Linked DNA regions of Danio rerio. The protein of the gene in region 1 purifies or fractionates together with the protein of each later gene. This does not show direct contact. Links are inferred from orthologs where the notes say so. Each region holds a gene or a part of one and is shown in the gene's direction. Other genes may lie near its edges.

The links. Proteins that work in one complex are often made in the same cells at the same time.
Region 2: the proteins of bag5 (region 1) and lrrk2 purify together in Homo sapiens (co-immunoprecipitation; 3 studies listed by BioGRID and IntAct, with this or other methods). This does not show direct contact. The link is inferred for Danio rerio from reciprocal best matches to the Homo sapiens genes BAG5 and LRRK2.
Region 3: the proteins of bag5 (region 1) and dnajb4 purify together in Homo sapiens (affinity purification with mass spectrometry; 4 studies listed by BioGRID and IntAct, with this or other methods). This does not show direct contact. The link is inferred for Danio rerio from reciprocal best matches to the Homo sapiens genes BAG5 and DNAJB4.
Region 4: the proteins of bag5 (region 1) and dnajc7 purify together in Homo sapiens (affinity purification with mass spectrometry; 4 studies listed by BioGRID and IntAct, with this or other methods). This does not show direct contact. The link is inferred for Danio rerio from reciprocal best matches to the Homo sapiens genes BAG5 and DNAJC7.

Annotation. Positions count from the first base shown.
Region 1 is NC_133188.1:17,741,741-17,746,582, reverse strand, and holds part of bag5 (BAG family molecular chaperone regulator 5), read left to right. Parts: intron 1-2,532; coding exon of another isoform or gene 2,533-2,563; exon of another isoform or gene 2,564-2,580; intron 2,581-2,901; coding exon 2,902-3,427; 3' UTR 3,428-4,842. UniProt on the Homo sapiens protein: Co-chaperone for HSP/HSP70 proteins. It functions as a nucleotide-exchange factor promoting the release of ADP from HSP70, thereby activating HSP70-mediated protein refolding.
Region 2 is NC_133200.1:38,243,933-38,249,549, reverse strand, and holds the start of lrrk2 (leucine-rich repeat serine/threonine-protein kinase 2), read left to right. Parts: upstream 1-2,345; 5' UTR 2,346-2,492; coding exon 2,493-2,700; intron 2,701-2,884; coding exon 2,885-2,964; exon of another isoform or gene 2,965-3,529; intron 3,530-3,552; coding exon of another isoform or gene 3,553-3,588; intron 3,589-4,003; coding exon 4,004-4,101; intron 4,102-4,654; coding exon 4,655-4,746; intron 4,747-4,844; coding exon 4,845-4,982; intron 4,983-5,617. Other genes in the region: slc2a13b (solute carrier family 2 member 13b), read right to left, coding at 1-403. UniProt on the Homo sapiens protein: Serine/threonine-protein kinase which phosphorylates a broad range of proteins involved in multiple processes such as neuronal plasticity, innate immunity, autophagy, and vesicle trafficking.
Region 3 is NC_133177.1:9,895,096-9,900,671, forward strand, and holds the start of dnajb4 (dnaJ homolog subfamily B member 4), read left to right. Parts: upstream 1-2,304; 5' UTR 2,305-2,484; coding exon 2,485-2,695; intron 2,696-3,107; coding exon 3,108-3,685; intron 3,686-5,576. UniProt on the Homo sapiens protein: Probable chaperone. Stimulates ATP hydrolysis and the folding of unfolded proteins mediated by HSPA1A/B (in vitro).
Region 4 is NC_133178.1:16,658,507-16,663,944, forward strand, and holds the start of dnajc7 (dnaJ homolog subfamily C member 7), read left to right. Parts: upstream 1-2,166; 5' UTR 2,167-2,174; coding exon 2,175-2,338; intron 2,339-5,438. UniProt on the Homo sapiens protein: Acts as a co-chaperone regulating the molecular chaperones HSP70 and HSP90 in folding of steroid receptors, such as the glucocorticoid receptor and the progesterone receptor.

The DNA of each region.
Region 1 (4,842 bases):
CTCCCAAGTTAACAAGGAGGCGGAGCCAAGAGCTCCCCCACTCTGTGTTTGGCAACAGAAAGGCAGAAAGAGAGAAGCAACGAGTGAGAGGACCAGCATTCGGCTGTACATGTACGACTCGGACACAGACCAAGCAGAGAGTACAAAATCATTTGTAACTTTGTATTGTTTTACAGCCAACTGTGTGCTAGTTTAAAGTGCCGAGCTTGTACACTGAGACTAATAACCAAGCACACTGAATTAACTTTGATTGAGGCACCAGATGCGCCGCTCGGAGCCGCGACACGGCACACCAGACACACACATTCAGATGTTATTTAAATTTAATTGTTTAGATGACGCTCTGTGACGCGGCAGAAGCATGAATTGTGCCCAATCGGCCAGCCGTCGACTTGAAGCGCCGTTGTGTGTACCCTGATAGAAACCTATGTTTAGAATTCTAAAATGCATGCTCAGTGTCGGGCCACGCAGAGCGGCGCTTATGGTGTGCTTCCTGCAGGCAAGTTTGTTATTTTATTTCCAATGAAGAGACGTGCACCTGAGGCAACGTGCTCGCACTTTCCAGTTTAAGGTAGACACAATGAAAAGTACTCATATTTGCAAACCTACCTAAAGTTACAAACAATAATTCTGATTAGAGCGATCAAGTGGTGTATGTTCATCTTGTGTTGAGCCTAATGAGCCTTACATATAAAAATAGAGCAAGGGTGTTCCTTTAGTGACATCGCTTTGACTCACACGCTGAAAATGGCAGACGTGAAACAACAAACTGGGCTGGGGGACTGCACTCCTACGTCAAGTTGCGGTTGCTCTGAAAACCACTCCAATTGGTTCAACCTTTTTTATGTTGTTAAATTGAAAAAAAAGGACTGTGTGTGTTTATATCATCCCAATATGATGGTCAATACACTATACCTACACACATGTCTGTCCAAACAGCTTGAAAAGTAGATTTTTCACCATAGGTGTCCTTTAAATGTTAGTCAAAGATAGCACAATTAAACACATCACACATTTTTTTAATAAAGATTTTTATCATTAAGGGAGATAAGATTTAAAGATAACTTAATGCTAATTTATCACAACAAAAGTTCAATTTCTCTTGCCACGCCCAGAACTTGTTACTGCCACACCTGTTTACAATTTAAAAAATAGCTTAAATAGGACCTAAAAAGTGAAGACAAAGTAAAGTAGTCTAAAAGATCCTCAAAAGCTAGACATCATGCCAAGATCCAAAAGATTTTTATTGAGATCTACCAGTCTGGAAAAGGTTAAAAATCCATTTCTAAAGCTATGGGACTGCATTGAACCACGCACACACGCACATACGCAATCAAAAATCAGAATTATTAAACCCCCTGAATTATTAGCCCCCCAGTTTATTTTTTTCTCCAATTTTTGTTCAACGGGAATACGATTTTTTTAACACATTTCTAAGCATAATAGTTTTAATAAATCATCTCTAATGACTGGTTTATTTTATCTTTGCCATGATGACAATAAATAATATTTTACTGGATATTTTACAGGATACTTCTATACAGCTTAAAGTGACATTTAAAGGCTTAACTAGGTTAATTAGGTTAACTAGGCAGGTCAGGGTAATTAGTATTATTCCCACTGAAATAAAACAAATAAGACTTTCTCCAGAAGAAAATATACTATCAGACATATGGTACTGTGAAAATTTCCTTGCTCTGTTAAACATCATTTGGGAAATATTTACAAAAGAAAATAATTTTAAAGTAGGTTTAATAATTCAGATTTTTATATTATAAAAAAGTCTGTGACACTGAAGTCTAAAATTTTGTAACGAAGTAAGCATAATGTCATTAATATGAAATAGAAGCCTTATGTGATTTGTACATGGATTTGCAAATTTTGTTTTAAAACACTTTTTTTTGTTTTATTTTTATTTGTTCCTAATTTTTAGAAAAAAAAGTATGGTGGCAGAGAAAGCTTAATGTGCTGCAATTTAAGAAAACTCATGCAAATACACAAACATGCCAGCAAATTTAGAAAAGATCTTCATCTGTTTGACAGCAAACGTGCTGCAAATCCTCACAACGCAAACACATAAAAATAGGGCTGCATTTTCCCACAATGCAAATAAATGAATAAAATGTGCTGCATTTTCTTTTTAACACTTTCAAATAGGTCGGAACACAGTGAAAATGTTTTAAGGGGACCTGGCTATTTAGGTTCTGGTTATTTAGGCTAATAAAATGCAAAAAACAAGGGAATCAAGATGTTAATATAAACAAACAAAAAACTCCCCTTTCAAAGATCACTTACAACTTCACTGAGTATACAGTTATGTTTGTCACGTTTTTCGGTACCCTTGAAACATTTTCATTGTGTTTCGTTCTTTTTGGAAGTGTTGTGAGAAAAGGCAGCTCGATTTCATTAATTGTTTGTGTTGTGAAAAACGGCAGCGTGTTTTTTACTGTCTTTGCTTTGAGGATTTGCAGCTTGTGTCTTTTCTTAATTGCTAATGTTTTTTGTTTTTGCATGTGTTTTCTTAAATTGCAGCACGTTAAGCACTCTTGACCACCTTAAATAGGTGAGCACTGAGCACTAACAATTCTTGTTATATTTATTTTATTCATACGGGGACCTGGATTACATCAGCTATTTATTATGTGCTATGTAAACCTTCTTAGTATTACAATAAGAATAAAGAATATGTTTATAATGCAATTCTTAACATACAGTAGCATTTATACAGTTTCATTTTATGATAAAAAGCCTAATCAAATAACAAAAGGAAGTTATTTCAAACTTTTGAGTAGTTATGGAGTAATTGTGGTGCATGTATATATTTGAATAAAATTTATTTACTTGGATGAATTAAAAAGCATCTTTTTTCCAATAATATACTTACAATTTTTTTTCTTTCAGGTATGATCTAGCACAGAATGACTCTATTCGTGAAATTGAGGCTATCAGGGGTCGTGTGTCAGTGCTGCGAGAAGAGGTGCTTCGGCATGGAGCTTCTGGACAGGGAATAGAGCTGCAGGGTCTCCTTAACCATCTGGACCAGGTAAATACAGGCCGAAATCCCTGCATCCGGGAGGCGCGACGCAGGGCTGTGCTAGAGGTGCAGGCGCTCATCACCTTCCTAGACCTCTGGGAAGCACTAGGACGACGTAATCCAGGGCCAGATGAACCTCCACCTCATGCAGCCGTGTGGCGAGTGCTGGGCAGTTTGTGTGATCTGCAGGCCCAGGTGTTGGGCTTCGATGGCAAAAGGGCCGACAAGAGCTACATGGTGTTGGAGGAGCTACTGACCAAACAACTTCTGGCTCTTGACGCTGTGGACCCTCAGGGTGACCAGGGGACCAAAACTGCCCGTAAGCAAGCTGTTAAACATGCCCAGAATATTCTTAGTTATCTGGATATGAAGACGGATGAGTGGGAGTACTGAGTGGATAAGACACTGGATTGCCCTGATTAAAGATCAGCAAATGTGCAACATATTAGGACTAGCACGGCCTTGGCAACCATACAGGCCATGGGTGAAATTTTTAATTTGTATATAAAAGACTGTGTATCGCCATGGGTAGCGACACTGTTACCCATGATGCACTGTACCTGCTGCTTTTGTTGGCCCTTTACTGGTCCCTGAAAACAGCCATCTTCTGGCAGGAGTTGCAGTTACTACTGCATATGAAGCTTTTGTTTTCCTGACAATAATCCATGATCTTTTTGGTTGAATCTGAGCTGTTGGTTGGTGTGGTGTGGTGCTAAACCCTGTTCTGCTGCCAAAATCTGCTTTCTGCTTTACCACATGCCTGTGTGGAGCACATGTTGTCTTTTTCGCAGTGTGAACACGTCAGCGCTTCAGTCTTGTCAACTATAACCCATTTGGTAACACATCATTCCCTGATTTGACCACAACATACTCATAATGAGGCCATTTCCAGATAATTACAGTGATAGTTCACCCAAAAATTAAGATTTACTCACCATTCCAAACACACCCAAACAAAAGTTTCCTCTGGTTTTTGAACACTAAAGACAATATTTTGACAGCTGAAAACCTAAAACCATCAAATTCCATAGTGGAAAAAACAAATAATAGAACTTATAGTCAATGGTAAGAGAATATCCAGATTATTATATATTTTTTTTCAAAATGATTTCTTTTGCAATCAACTGTTAAAAAAGAAAACACTTGCAACAATATTTACAACAAGAAAAAGAACAGTTTTCAGTTTTGGGTGAACCATCACTTTAAAAGGTCAGACAAGCTTAGTGTTCATAGCTGCAGTTAGAACCCGAGCTCTTCATATATAAACCCTGCATATAAACAACGACTGACCCCACATGTTGGAACATTATTTTTGGTTTTCAAGCAACTTCTACATATAACCCCCAGTTTAATTTAAGGACATTGCATTGAAATAAACACTGCTTTGCAATGTCAGTTTAAAAGTGAAGTGTGTATTTTCTGTCACAATGGCTTTTATTTTAGGGTGTTCAAGCCAGGAAAGAAAGAATTGTTTTCAACATGAATTTACACACTTGTCTTTTAAAGAAGACAACTGTGAAAAAGCATGCGAGAGAAACATTTGAACCATTCCTGCAGTTTTGTCAAATTTCAAAGTGGATGGGGAATCAAAAATTGCAATGATGTATTGTCTTTGGGGACGTTTCATTTCAGTATGGATATGGAGGTCAAAAAATAGAAACTAGATCACAACGTTTCTTTTTTTTTTTCTTCATTGGTTTTTCTTGCTATCGGGCAAAAAGTGCCTATGCAAGCCACCAGGGAATAGAGCATAGACTGAAAGTGTGTGTCTGTGATTGTTAAAAAAAAAAAGTGGTGCGTGCTATTTT
Region 2 (5,617 bases), on another chromosome or scaffold:
CCGTGAGCCTCCCACACAGAAGGGCCTCTTTATTGCGTGCGACGCTTAGTATGATTCCTCCAGCACAGAAGATGAAGCTGGCCAGCAGAATGCAGACCCTCCGTCCGAATCGTCCGTTCAGAAACCCTCCGGCCAGAGCGGAAACAGCAGCGGCACCGACAGTAATGGAAACCAGCAGCTCCTGCCACACAGAACTGAGCTTCTTCTCCCTCTTGAGGAGCAGCATGGCTCCGGAAACCACTCCGGTGTCATAGCCGAACAGAAATCCTCCCAGAGCCGAGAAGAAGGCCAGCGTGTAGACGAAACACGGAGGGCCCGGCTGGAGTTCATGGTCACGCTTTGATGCTGTCTTTATTAAAGTGCTCTCGTCTTCAACTCTAGCGTACGCTCTCTGATCCTCCATCCTCCAGAGATCATGCACATTGTGTCCTGAATCACAAAGACAACATCTTGAGATCATCACATGATTGCAGCCATAAACCAGAGCACGCTGGCAGTGTGCACACACCTTAAACTCTTAGTGCATGAATACTGTGTCAATACGTCAGGTCAGGTGCTGTTAAAACTACTTAGTAGGCATTGACTTCCATAGTATAAATTTGGAACAAGCTAAGGGAGAGTAAATACAGACGACAGATTTAATTTCCTTGAGTGAACTGTCCATAAGCATAACTAAATGTCTGTTTTAATTGGCCACGTTTGAGTTATCTTGAGCTAAAGCACCACATGCTGAAACATGTCAACTCTGCTAGTGTTTTAGAAAGTTTAATAGGGTTAACTGAATCAAATGTCATATATTTATGTCATATTTAAGCATTATTTTACATTATTAATAGATTCTGTTTACTGTTATGTTAAATGTATGTTATACATTCACCGGCCACTTTATTAGGTACACCTGTCCAACTGCTTGTTAACACAAATTTCTAATCAGCCAATCACATTGCAGCAACTCAATGCATTTAGATGTGTAGACACGGTCAAGACGATCTGCTGCAGTTCAAATCAAGCATCAGAATGGGGAAGAATTTAAGTGACTTTAAACGTGAAATGGTTGTTGGTGCCAGATGGGCTGGTCTGAGTATTTCAGAAACTGCTGATGTACTGGGTTTTTCACACACAACCATCTCTAGGGTTTACAGAGAATGCTCCGACAAAGAGGAAATATCCAGTGAGCGGCAGTTCTGTGGGTGCAAATGCCTTGTTGATGCCGGAGGTCAGAGGAGAATGGCCAGACTGGTTCCAGCTGATAGAAAGGCAACAGTAACTCAAATAAGCACTCGTTACAACCGAGCTCTGCAGAAGAGCATCTCTGAACACACAACACGGCCAACCTTGAGGCGGATGGGCTACAGCAGCAGAAGAGCACACCGGGTGCCGCTCCTGTCAGCTAAGAACAGGAAACTGAGGCTACAATTCACACAGACTCACCAAAACTGCACAATAGAAGATTGGAGAAACGTTGCCTGCTCTGATGAGTCTCCATTTCTGCTGACACATCCGGATGCTCGGCTCAGAATTTGGCCTCAATGTCACCTCATCTATGCCACGAACGATTAAGGGGGTTCTGAGGGCAAAAGGGGGCCAACCCGGTACTAGTGAGGTGTACCTAATAAAGTGGCCAGTGAGTGAATATAATTTCCAGGGAAACAAAATGAATGGAAAATGCTTAAATACAGCGGACAATCTTGGTATTCTTCTTGCTGTTCATCTTTTGGTGTTTACTTCCAGCAAAATAACCATCAGCATGAAAATGTTTCCATCAGCATGTTAAATATTAGCCAGCAAAGCACTTCTGACAGCAATAAGCAAGCTAGTGGTGTACCTAATAAAGTGGCCGGTCGATGTATAAGTTATTAACTACTTATTTTTCTATTACTATATTTTATTATTTACGAACGACCCGATTCAGTAAGAAATCTGACCTTTTTACTTTAAACTTCAATCATTACACGTTAAAAATAAATAAATTAATCGCAAAATATCTAGTATGTTTATACAAAACTCCATCTAAATAAGGTCGCGAACTACATAATGTTTTAAAATCCCCTCATGTTTTATTTTTTATTCAGACTCTTATATTAGCACACATAAAACAAACATCAACAACTTCCTACATGATATGAGCGCGTACACATCTACTGTACACAGCGATGCTAACATGCTACAAAAAACGAACTAGCCTCATCACATATGAACATAAAATGACATAAAATGCGCAAATATTTGTGCTGTCTCTCAGTAAACTTACCAGCTAATCTCGTTTCAGAGTGTTTGTATTGATCCGTGTGTCTTTGCTTTCACTGTTGCGCTCAAACAGGAAGTTGTTGAATTGTTTTGCAGTCATATGATTCATAACGCAGCCTGGACTACACAGGCGCCAACATGACCGAGATTTCTTCCCTAAACCGCAGAGTATCACACCAGGAACTCAATATTAGTTAGTCAGGACGGCATAAATATGGCAGAGCCTCTGTGTGAAATCTGCGGGGATGTTAATGTGTCAACATGGAGGATCAGAAAGTGCCTTTAAGTTCAAGTTTGATGTCAGAAACTCGGAGATCATGGCAGAAATAGAGGAGTTGTCCATCAGACTGAAGAAGCTACTGGTGAGGTTGAATCTTCAGGATGGGAAGCAGCTGGGGACAATGGTGCAGATCATAGAGGATCTCCTGTTCCTGTCCCATACTGAGCACTGTGGTGAGTCCTGACCACTCCAAAATGTGCTTTATTTACATTTCATGATGCGTATAATGCATGGATACAGTCATATTGACAGCAATGCAACATTCAGAGACCTCAATTGGTGTGTGTGTGCCTTTTTTTCCCCAGCGAGACATCTGCTGGGTTATTTTTAGACTTGTGTTCTTCTTTTGTCCTGCAGTTGAGCTGTTTGCGGATCAAAATGTCCATGTGCCTGTGTTGCTGAAATGCAGCGAAAGCGCCAGCATCAAAGTTCAGCAGGTACTGTAGCCACTTCAAAACATGTGACTTTTATTTTGTTAAACAAAAAGAGATATTGAGAAGAATGTTCACACTGCTCTTATTCATATTGAAACTGGAAGGGAACTGAAAGGGAATGGCTTTATTAATAATTAAAAAAAAATATGAATTATAAGTCAGCAGCAGGGTTTTTGATTTTATTACATGCTCTTAGAATAGAAAAGATTCGGTTCGCAGTAAAACAAAAGCCAGTGTCACCGACTCGGTCCCAGTCATTCCCCTCGCTGGCCAGCAGAGGCCGCCATCCCCGGACTTCTAGCATTACATCATCCACCTAGACTAATTGTGCACACACCTGATCTGAATCCCGTTAACGATCCGCGCTCCCTATATAAGCCACACTCAAACACCAGTTCATTGCGAAGTCTTGTTCAGCCACGGTCAACACTTCTGAGCGTTATTCACTGCCTGATCTTCTGTGCATTACCCCGGACTGGTTCTGACTCTGAGTTGCCTTCTGCCTGCCCTCGACCCACGCTTGTTATACGGACTCTGAACCACGCCGCCTGCCACTGATCCATGCCTGGTAAATCACTCTGTGTCTGTCAGCCGCCAGCCCCACGATCTATGTTGAATGCTGTTGATGTGAGTTCGCACTTTAGTGCGTGTTGTATGTTTGTGATTGAACTGTGTCTTTTAAATACTGCAAAATGGATCCCTCCGTGTCAGTCTCCTCGTTATAGCCAGATATTAAATATTTTTAATAATTAATATTATTATTTAATGTGTTTTTAAAATATTTTTATTATAACTTTTTGCATTCATCCTTGTGTCTTCTGCACATTTTGTCTGTAAAGTGCCTTGAGATGCTACTTTTAAAGGTGCTATCTAAAATAAAGTTTATTATTATTATTAATAATATTTGAGGAGATCCAACTATCTTTTTTTTTTTTTTTTTTTTTTTTTTTTTTTTATTTAATTTTTTATTATCTTAACTCGGAACAATAATGGTGATTTCGTGTTAGTAATTGCGAGTGATTTATTATGCTGCTCATCCTAGGTTGGCTGGTCTCTGCTGTGTCGGCTGATGGAAATCTGTCCCAACACTCTGGATAATCTGGCCAGACCGGTGGACTATGAATTTATAGATGCACACAAGTAAGTTGGAGTGTAATATTTTTAAGCATGTGCATGCATTCCAGGGCAACACGGAGGCTCCGTGGTTAGCGCTGTCACCTCACAGCAAGAGGGTCACTGGTTCGAGTCCCGGCTGGTTAAGTTGGTGTTTCTGTGTGGAGTTTGCATGTTCTCCCTGTCTTGGTGTGGGTTTCCTCGAGGTGCTCCGGTTTCCCCCACAAGTCCAAACACATGCCCTACAGGAGAATTGGGTAAGCTAAATTGTATAGGTGTGTATGGATGTTTCCCAGTACTGGGTTGCAGCCAGAAGGGCATTCGCTGTGTAAAACATATGCTGTAATAGTTGGCGGTTCATTCCGCTGTGGCAATAGGGGGCCTAAGCCAAAGGTGAATGAATGAATGAATGAAATTGAGCAAAAACTACAGATTTATCAGAGAGATTTAATCCGGGCCAGTGTCATGAACAAATAACTGCATGAAAATAAGTTCTTTGTAATTGTTTACATCTCGTAATTTGTAAAATTGCAGCTGATTTTTAATTAAGCGACTCTTTTTGATGCATGTTTGTTTATAGGCAGATTCTGAAGGTGCTTCACGAGTACCATAATAAAGACGCCAAGATGATGATGGTGGCCCTGAGAGCTCTGGCTCTGATGCTGAAGTCAGGCAAGTCTTGTTTCTACATAACGCCTGCTATTTCGTTCATTAAAGAGCAGCGGTTTCTGAAAGTGTTTTGATGGAGGTGTTTGATGTTTGTGGCTCAGGTGAGATCAAGATGCAGGTTCTGGATGAGGAGGAATGGGATGTGTTTTACTCGATTCTGGAGGCCATGAAGTCATTCAGTGACAGAGAAGAAGTTCAGCTACAGGGATGTACAGCTTTACAACCACTGCTGCAGACAGGTGACCAGGATTAGTTATTCAAATTTGAAATGGTGATATACACTTACCAGACACTATATTAGTTACACTTTTCTAGTACTAGGTTGGACCCCTCATGAGCACGCCTCCTCATAAGGAGTTACAAACTAGACTAGAGCACCATCTCCTGTTAAAAATACTAGCCTAGAGCGTGATCTGCTGTTAAAAGTAGCCTAGTGCGTCGTCTGCTGTTAAAAAAAACTAGCCTTGAGCGTTGTCTGCTGTTAAAACTAGCCTAGAGCACCATCTCCTGTTAAAAATACTAGCCTAGAGCGTGATCTGCTGTTAAAAGTAGCCTAGTGCGTCGTCTGCTGTTAAAAAAAACTAGCCTAGAGCGCCGTCTGCTTTTAAAACTAGCCTTGAGCGTTGTCTGCTTTTAAAACTTGCCTAGAGCATTGTCTGCTGCTAAAACTAGCCTAGAGCGCCGTCTGCTGCTAAAACTAGCCTAGAGCGCCGTCTGCTGTTTAAAAACTAACCTTGAGTGTCATCCGCTGTTAAAAATATTAGCCTAGAGTGCCATTCACTGTTTAAACTAGCCTAGAACATTGTCTGCTGTTATAAACTAGCCTAGAGCGCCGTCTGCTGTTAGAAGTAGCCTAAAGCACCATCTGCTTTTA
Region 3 (5,576 bases), on another chromosome or scaffold:
CAGGAGGCATCCGAAACAGATACCCGAGCCACCTCAGCTGACTTCTCTCGATGTGGAGGAGCAGCGACTCCTCTCCGAGCTCCTCCCGGGTGTCAGAGCTCCTCACCCTATCCATAAGAGTGCGCCCTGCCACCCTTCGAAGGAAACTCATTTCGGCCGCTTGTATCTGAGATCTTATTCTTTCGGTCATGATCCAAAGCTCATGACCATAGGTGAGAGTAGGAATGTAGATTGACCGGTAAATCGACTGGCTCTTGGGACATACTAATATTATTCTAAATAAATACTTTTTTGAAGAAAGCTGCAAACCTGTAACCATTTATATAGAAAAACAAATACAATGGAAGTCAATGGTTACAGGTTTGCAGCTTTCTTCAAAATATTGTCTTTTGCATTAAAAAGAAAAAAGAAAGTCAAGCAGGATTAGAACAAGTTAAGGTGTAAGTAAATGTTTACATGTAACATTTAAGGAATATAGTTTATTTTACCCCTTGTGCACTGTTCAAAAACTACCCTTTTGTTATGTTAGGGATGAAAACATCAGCTGTAATTAAACTGCTGTAAAAATTGAATCTGATAAATATTTCTTAATTTTTTTTGCATAAATCTATTAATCAAACTCTTTGCTGATAAAAAAATGTTAAGAAAATGACAAGATTTTAATTCTTTAATTGGCACATTTTAAATGATTTCACTTATTGGTGAAAAAACACACAAAATGACGTATTTTTTAATATAAAAAGTAATTTTTTAACCTTTTATCACAGTCTTGGACACCAACGTTGGCTTTGATGCATTGTTGAATTTTCATTTTTTTCCCTAATTTAGTTTCCTAATTTACTGTTGGTGGCTGTTGTTGCCCCGTTGACTTCCATTATAACCACATTTGATGAAGCATAAGCACACAGTCTTTGTTTATGTTTACTTCATGTAGTTCTGAGAGCTAAGATGCATTATTAGATTTTCTCAGACACATCTCACACTCTCATAGACACACATACACACACTGTAATATGATGTTATACTCCATATAAAATCCAGAAACTAAGCTTTTTTTTTGCACAGGCAAAAACATCTAAAGGGTTAATGGTGTCAACTGATGATCAACAGTAAAAATTACCAATTTTACCACCAACAATCAAAAAGGTATGATTATATGGTGTCGTGGTTTTGTAATCCAAAAAATGTGACAACAATAGTAAATTAATGAGAAAATAAATTCAAATTAATCAAAAACAATGTAAATTTGGATCAAAGGCAATGTTGTGTCACATGTCTAAGACTTTGATAAAAGGTTAAAAAAATACAACCCACAGTGACTTTTTATATTGAAAATATGTAATTTTGTGTGTTTTTTTTTCAGCAAATCAGTGACATTATTTATGAATTTGGAAATTAAATGGTTCAAATGCTGTAATTTTCTAGGCAATTTAGTAGTTTTGATCGGGACTGTGATCCAGAAGGGTTGATTTTGAGATTTATACAAAACTAAATTTGAAAAAATTATTATTTCTGATCCTTATTAATTCATTCTTTTTCCTTTCGGCTTCGTCCTTTTATTAATCCAAGGTCGCCACCACCGAATGAACCACCAACTTATCCAGCACATGTTGTACGCAAGTAACGCAACCCATCTCTGGGAATCAACCATTTAAACACTCAATCTCACTCATAAACTACAGACAATTTAGCTTACCCAATAAGTCACCTGTATACCACATGTCTTTGGACTGTGCACTCGGAGGAAGCCCACGCGAACGCAGGGAGAACATGCAAACTCCACACAGAAACGCCAGCTGACCTTCTTGCTGTGAGGTGACAGCACTACCTACCAACACTACTCGCCATCTCATTATTATTTATATTTATTTTTTTTCTAGATTGTTATTTATTAATTTTTAGATTGTCACATTATTGACTAAAAAAATATAAGATAAATAAATAAATAAATAAATAAAAGAATATTTTTTAAATTCTAATTGTTCAAGTAACTTTTTAAATAAAGATTGTACACAGTTTTCAAGTGTAAGATAGATAGATAGATAGATAGATAGATAGATAGATAGATAGATAGATAGATAGATAGATAGATAGATAGATAGATAGATAGATAGATAGATAGATAGATAGATAGATAGATAGATAGATAGATAGATAGATAGAGAACGTTGCGCTCCTGGTTGAGACTGTATTTGAAAATGGGAAATGACGTGCCTCAGCTATTACGTTCTAGAAAGCGCTCTGAATCCGGAGCTGCAATGGTACAGGGGAGGGAGGAATGGCTATTTAAAGAGGGTAAAATAACACAAGATCTTTAGTGCTGAGTAACCGCCTCCAAACAGACACAAAGAGATCAACTGATCATCTGTATCACGGTTTAAAGAGGCAGGATTTGACAGTGTAGCGCTCTTATTCGCCGTCTTCTTTATCAACCGACAGTCGAATCCTCGGGCAGCGGCAGCAGCGCGGTCTGCATAGTGGAAAATGGGCAAAGATTATTACAAAATACTGGGAATCACGAAAGGAGCATCAGACGACGATATCAAGAAGGCGTACAGAAAGCAGGCTTTGAAATGGCATCCTGACAAGAACAAGGCAGCCAACGCTGAAGAGAAATTCAAGGAGGTCGCAGAGGCTTATGAAGTTCTCAGCGATCCAAAGAAACGAGAAATATACGACCAGTATGGAGAAGAAGGTATGTTCTTCCTTCATATCAGTAATACCCATGGTAACAAAGAACATATTCTCTATATCTACCCAACTCATACTGTAAAATATGTCAGATAATGTAGGCTTTAGGCTATACAAAAATATATACATTGCGTTATAAGCTGACCATATGGTTATGTTTTTATTTTAGTCCTCATCATTGCTCAACCAAAAGGCTAAATCTTTTCATGTAGAAACAATGCTCCCTGCAAGCCTAAATGTCAAAATGGATATGTCGCTGCTGTCTTATTCTAATTATAAATAGACATGGTATTATATGTGGTGTGTTTACTAGATAACTGCGCTGGGTTGCATAGCAATGACAGCATGTGTTTGTGGCCTAAATCTTCCTCAGTCTATTTTTTCGAAAATAAAATGAGTTTTTTCTATATTATTAGGTCTTAAAGGAGGTGGAGGAGCGTCCGACGGCCCAGGTGGCAACTTCACCTACACCTTCCATGGAGACCCTCACGCGACATTCGCCACGTTTTTCGGAGGAGCCAGTCCTTTTGAGGTATTTTTTGGCAGGAAAGTCAACGGACGAGATGAGGACGACATGGAAGTGGACGGAAACGATCCTTTTGGTTCCTTTACGAGTTTTAACATAAATGGATTTCCACGCGAACGGCACGTAGGTCAAGGTGGCCCGCCACGCAGGAAGCAAGACCCGGCTATCCACCACGAGCTCCGGGTGTCACTTGAGGAGGTTTTTCACGGAAGCACCAAACGCATGAAAATCTCACGGAAGCGCTTAAATCCGGATGGTCGAACCTTGAGAACCGAGGACAAAATCCTCACTATTGAGATAAAGCGTGGCTGGAAAGAGGGAACCAAAATCACATTTCCACGGGAGGGTGACGAAACGCCTAATACTATCCCTGCCGATATTGTGTTTGTCATTAAAGATAAGCCTCACGGCCACTTTCGACGAGAGGGGTCTGATATTGTGTATCCAGTCCGGGTCAGTCTGCGCCAGGTGAGAACCATCCATTCATCCATCCATCCATCCATCCATCCATCCAACCAACCATCCTTCCATGCATCCATCCATCCATCCATCCAACCAACCATCCTTCCATGCATCCATCCATCCATCCATCCATCCATCCATCCATCCATCCATCCATCCATCCATCCATCCATCCATCCATCTATCTATCTATCTATCTATCTATCTATCTATCTATCTATCTATCTATCTATCTATCTATCTATCTATCTATCTATCTATCAATGGTGGTGCTGAGTAGAATTATCAGGTCATCAATATCAAATATTATCAATATTTTAATTTCAAAATGCACATCAGTTTCAGTATTTTATGTTGATTGTAATGTTCAGAATATGTTATAAGTTTTATTACAGTTAATTTATTTAATATTTTATGTCTCTTAAAGTCCATTACTGCATTCATCCATCTGAACTAAAAGGTTGCTTGTTAAATATAACTTTAATAAATATTATATATATATATATATATATATATATATATATATATATATATATATATATATATATATATATATTATTAAAGTATATGATGATTGATTTCACTTCCAAATATATATTGTTTCGTACAATAATATATAGTATGCTGCCATCTGTAAAAAAAAAAATAATTTTATGGTTTATTTATTTGAAAAGACTATTTCATTTACTTATTTAAAGTAACGACTGTAAAATTACAGAGATTTACTGTAAAACAACAGGTTGAATTACAGAAATTTACCAAAAATTTACATTTAAGGAAATTTCTTTAATTTAACAGCCGTTATTTTACTTTTTTTTTCCAGCTGCCGTAAAATCACAGATTTTTTTTACTGTGTATATATATTGTATACAGTTGAAGTCAGAATTATTACCCCCTCGATTATTAGCCCCCATTTTAATTTTTTTCCCACAATTTCTGTTTAACAAAGAGAAGATTTTTTTCAACACATTTCTAAACATAACAGTTTTAATAACTAATTTATAATATTGGATTTATTTTATCTTTGCCATGATGACAGTAAATAATATTCGACTAGATATTTTTCAAGACACTTCTATACAGCTAAAAGTGACATTAAAAGGCTTAACTAGGTTAATAAAGTTAACTAGGCAGGTTAAGGTAATTAGGCAAGTTATTGTATTACGATGGTTTGTTCTGTAGACTATTGAAAAAAATTATAGCTAAAAGGGCCTAATAATTTTGACCTTAAAATGTGTTTTTTTTTTTTGTGTTTTGTTTTTTTTAAAAAGAAACAGCTTTTGTCCTTGCCAAAATAAAACAAATAAGACTTTCTCCAGAAGAAAAAATATCATCAGAATTATTGTGAAAATTTCCTTGCTCTGTTTAACATCATTTGGGAAATACTTAAAAAAGAAAAAAAAAAATCAAAGGAGGGCTAATAAGTCTGTCAAATGTACATGTATAGTATCTCGCATTAAATGCAGAAGTAAAAGTTTCTGTCATATATGGTATAAAGTTTAACTTAAATCACTTTATTCTAACTGTATTTTATTTTTTAAATTAAATATTAACTGTAACTTTTAAAATTACAGTTTCATTTAAAATTACTTACACTTTTAATGTGTCTATGACTTTCGATAGATCTGTGCAAAAGTTACAGTTTTAAAAATTGTTGCCAGCTAAAAATGTTCAAATCTTTGTTTGAAATCTTCACTCTTACATAATGCAGTTTGGACAGCAAGTAATACGAGCTGTGTTGAGTTGCCAGAAAAGGCGCTCGCCCACTTAAACTGTTAGAGACCATCAAGATGTACTCGCACGACCGAATCATTAACACACTGTTCTGTAAATGTCAATTCTGTACATAGAGCACCAAACCCATCTAACAAATGAAATATGCTTTTAAGCTTGGTGT
Region 4 (5,438 bases), on another chromosome or scaffold:
GAGAGTCTACTGCAAATTTAAAAAAAAGCGTAATACGAATATAAATATCCCTTTGTTAACCATAGGCTGTTAAACAAACAGAAACTGCTGGACATGATGACATCGGTAATATGCAAATTGACGTATGACATAATCTAGCAACATTTAGCGACTTTTCATTAAAATAGTTGGCAACACTGGAAAGCTGAAAACATGTAACTATTGTTTTCTATACTTGTTTTTCCTACTATGTAAGTTAATGGTTTTCAGCTTTCTTCAAAGTATCATTTTTTGTGTTCAACAGAAGAAACTTGTAAGGGTTTGAAACCATTTGAGGGTGAGTAAATAGTGAGCAATATTTCATTTTTGGCTGAACTATTGATTTAACTTTTCTTATGTGTATTTCTTACTGTTTATTTTGCTTGGTTGTTTTAAACTTTTTGTCCTGCCTGTGTTTCTATTTGTTATGATATACTAAATTCAAAAATATGATAATTTGTTTCCGCCTACTGCAATGCTGCCATTGCTCTGCTATGCACAGATTTGAAGTCTATCATTGAGTCTATCTATTTACTAGTGTATATGTGTTTAAATTTATATTTTTTCAGTTTTTAAATGAATTTCACTAACATCATCATGATATAAAAATAGTAATATTAAAATGTTCATATGATTTATTTACAATACAGTTTGTAAAATAATATTTTCTGTCTTTTAGTAGATATATTATACAGGAGACTTGCTTTGTTTACCAAATAAGTGCATCTAGATGGATTTGCATTGTAAACAGTAAAAAAAAGTTAATAATGTATTATTTTTATATCACATATTAAGTTTTTAGTTATGATGCTGCTAAAACCATTCTGCATAAATCCGCAGATTTTTTATTCAACAGAAGAAACTCATAAGGGTTTGGAACCACTTGAGGTTGAGTAAATAGTAAGTAATATTTCATTTTTGGCTGAACTATCGATTTACCTTTTCGTACGTGTGTTTCAAAAATACTGTAATTTGTTGAAGCCTACTGCAAAGCTACCTGCATTGACTGTCAGAGCCTCAATTAAATGATTTTCAGTTTTCTTCAAGGTATCTTCTTGTGTTCAATGGAAGAAACTCATAACAGTTTGAAAGCAGTGAGTAAAGAGTAAAATTAGATTTTTGGCTTAAATATCCCATATTTAGGCCCACATGGATTAAATTTATATTTATTCAGTTTTTAAATTAATTTCACTAATATCATTATATGGCGAAGTAGGTAGTGCTGTCGCCTCACAGCAAGAAGGTTGCTGGGTCGCTGGTTCTGGTTCTGTGTGGAGATAGCAAGTTCTCCCTGCATTTGCGTGGGTTTCCTCCGGGTGCTCCGGTTTCCTCCACAGTCCAAAGACATGAGGTACAGGTTAATTGGGTAGGCTAAATTGTCCGTAGTGTATGAGTGTGTGTGTGAATGTGTGTGTGGATGTTTCCCAGAGATGTGGCTGGAGGGGCAATTGCTGCATAAAAACTTGCTGGACAAGTTGGCAGTTCATTCCGCTGTGGCGACCCCGGATTAATAAAGGGACTAAGCCAACAAGAAAATGAATTAAATAATATCATTATAACAATAGTAATATTGAAATGTTCATATGATTTATTTACAATACAGTTTGTAAAATAATATTTTCTGTCTTTTAGTAGATATTATACAAGAGACTTGCTTTGTTTACCAAATAAGTGGATTTTTGTTGCAAACAGTAAACAATTATTTAAAAATTTAAGGTTAATTTAAGTAAAAAATTTATAATTTTTTTTATTATACATTAAGTTTTTAGTTATGATACTTTTAAAATCATTCTGCATAAATCCGCAATTTTTTTTAACAAAATGCTCAGCAGACATAGCAAAGAAATGACCACAGTTTCTGTCTGTCTGTTATTTCCAATGGTTGATTTATTGTTTGTATTTAAACTTTGTTTCCTGCGTTTCAATTTTATGACACACCTAACTGAAAAACACGGTAATTTGTCGCCACCTACTGCTACAAGGCAAAGCTGCTCCCCACTGAGCAAAATAAGGATTTATTAGGAAAGAAATTGTTTGAAAACATCGTAAGACGGACGCCGTAGTGTGTACATCAGTTAACTTTTTTAAAAAATATATATTTGAACATATTTTCTGAACACTATCTTTTGGCAGGATCTCGTATCCGTTGACCTACTATGGGCATATTGCGCACGGTGGCGGAAGGCGGAGCGGAAGGCGGTATGAAAGCCTCACATGCCTCGCTTCATCCTCCGCCTCTCTACAGCAAAATGGCGACTGTTGACTACGACTCGTCCGTGGATCCAGAGATGGACTTAACCAGCGACGAGGAGTTAGAGAGGTACCCGAAAAGCCGAATCACTTTAATACGAAGCCGGCTAGTCTGGCCTTGAGCTAGCTGTGTTTTGGCAAAGCCCCGATCGGGCACATGGGTGTACGAAGGACTCTGAGATCGAGATTGCCGCATAACTTGAAAATCAAGGGGTGTCGATGGCCTAGTGTGCCAGGCGCCTGCTTTAACATTGGGGTGCCTTGCGATTAACCTGTACTTGTTTTTGAGCACATGCTTAAATGGGCTTTGACCTTTATAGTCGATGCTAAAGTGTGCCATGCGTCGTATATGAACACGACAGATGTGCTGTGCGCCGTGACACAGTTTTAAGGGTAAGAATTAGGTTGAATGCAACGTGACATCATCACTGCTCTTAAGAACACAATGCAGACCCACTTTAGCCGGCACACATGACAGCTCAAACATCTGGTTGTCCGGCGATGACGCATTGTTGTGTTAAATTGCTTGAAATTGTGCTAGTTGCTAATTTGAGGTGACAACAATGCACATGCATGTAATGTCAGTCTATAGAGGAAATGACGTTCTGTCCATGCAGTCTCCTTGTATCATCAAAGGACAATAAGTTTCGGCTAGATTCTACATTTTGTTCATGTTGGAAAAAGCATACAACTGTAGTCGTCTTTTCATTTATTTATTTGTTTATTTAAGAATAATATCTCTTAAAGAGACAGCTCACCAAAAAGTATGAACATCTCCACACGTGTTTAAATGACACCGCACGGCAATTTAGGGGACGTTATGACAACTAATACATCGTTCAGATTTGTTTTGTTTAAAAAAAAAAAAAACGAAAGTAAAAGGAAGCTGTCAGTCTCGAACATTCTACCTGACATCTCCTTTGATAAATTGTAGTTAACATTAGTGGTGTACTGTCTCTTTAATGCATGTGACGTTTCAATTATATTTATTCTTCACTGCCACTTTTGGAAGTTGAGACATTAATTCGACCCTGAACGCATTTAGGATATGCTTTGTGATGATCAGTTTTTATCTTCTGGAACTTTCTGTCTGAGGTTTCTGTGGACGTACTGACAGACGGACGCTTGACTTGAATTATTAGCATGTTGAGTTGCAAAGATCGGTTACCGGACTGTAACTCGAGGAAGTTAACCTGCTGTGACATAACTTGTCTGACATAACTTTTGCCATCCAAAGTGTAGTTACCGGTATTACCTGACAAAGACGCACACTGATGCAGTGTAAGTGCTGGACTTGGATATTGTCATCCATTTTGGAAGCTATAGTTAGCTAATGTAATGTAATTGTGTCTCAGTTGATTTTTATTTCACTTAAAGGGAAGTTGACAAAAAAAAATAAACGTATGTGATGTAACTATCCCCATGTGGTTTTAACATTTATGTTCTTTATTTTATTAAAATACTAAAGAAGGTGTTTTGAAGAGCTGAAAACCTGTATCATTTGACTTTTGCGGTTGGGAAAACAAATGCTATGGAAGTCAATGTTTACAATTTTTCAACTTTCTTCAGAATTTTTTACAATTAGATTTTTTTTAACAATGATCGATCAACCTTTAAAGTGCTGTGCAATTAATCGAAATCGAATCACAATCGTTTTGAAACCCTACGTTCATCTAATTGCAAGAGGCTGCGATTTATATATTATTTAATTGTGACAGTCTTACTAAGCCAATTGAATGAGCACACTTTCGTTCGGCCAATCAGAAGTGCAACAGATCTATGCGGAATGCCCACATTAAAAAACAAACAAACTGGAAAGCACAGACGAGTGAGATGGTGTCGGTTGCTTGAAAAGCATTAATAGACAAATTAATATCAAAGAGAAACAGAACATCAGTAATATGAGAATATTTTTCTTTTAAAGTCCCAGACACCGATCAAAAACAGGTAATTTGTCTGACACAGAATTGTTACCAGCATGGGGAAATACAACAACCAGCACCTGAAAAAGCACCACAGGTGGCTTTATGAGGAGTGTGATTGAGCTGAAGCTTAACTAAGAAATTTAATCACAAATCAAATCAAAATTGCAAAATGTAAAAAAATATATATATATCGCAATTAGATCTTTTCCCAAATTGCACAGCCGTACTTTGCAGACATGCCTACTCTGAGCTAAGCATATTGTTTGTAAGTTTTTGATTGATTGGGCTTTTTTAGCACCTCTATGCCTCTTGTGTTATCCTAGGCCCAAGATGTTTTTTTTCTACATGGATTTTTAAATTTCTTTTTGCTATTTAGGCTTATTGGAACCTAATTAGAATAAAACCCAAGTATCATCTGGTCCGAATTTACATAAAATGCATATTTTAATGCATTAATAACACATAAAACACATTTTTTTGAACATGTATTGACTATCAGTAAACAAAACAATATCGGGGCCATTTCGGACAGTTAAAATAGTGTTTGGGTCATTTCAGATGCTGCAAAACAGTTGCAGGATGACACTATGTCTGTAACAAAATATAAAACATAAGAGCTAAAATGTGCTGCTGTCACAGGGTTCCTGGAGGTCAAAACAGGGTTTTGTTTTTTAGTATGTTAAATAATTATTTTTAGTTCAAAAAGCCAGTTTTTGTTGATAGATCTATAATCTGAAAAACTTAAAAAAAAAAAAAAAAAATTAAACTAAAATGTAAGTTTTTTTTTTTTTACACTTTTAAAATACTTAAAGGATAGTTCACCCCTAAACTGAACGTTGACATTAGCCCCTTTCACACAGTGATACCGGAAAATATCCGGAAAATTTACGGAACGACTTTACCGGTATGTTCAAAAAAGCGCTGTTCACACAGGCGAGGACGTTACGGAAATTTTCCGGAAAAGAGCATTCACACATCCATTCCAAAATACCGGTAAATTCTGACATCATTCACCACAAATGAGCTTTAAACGGCTGCGCTTGTATTTGTAAACATTTGACTAAATTACAAACTCTTTTGATGATCAATATTGTAAACAACTTTCACAGGATCATATTCGCATGTCGAGATGTTCATAATATGTGCGTGTGCTGGCGCTCACAGGCTGTTTCATGGGCACACGCAAAGCTTGAAGGTAAACAAACAACGGCTTATCATAAGCATCTTATCGATGATTATTTGCAC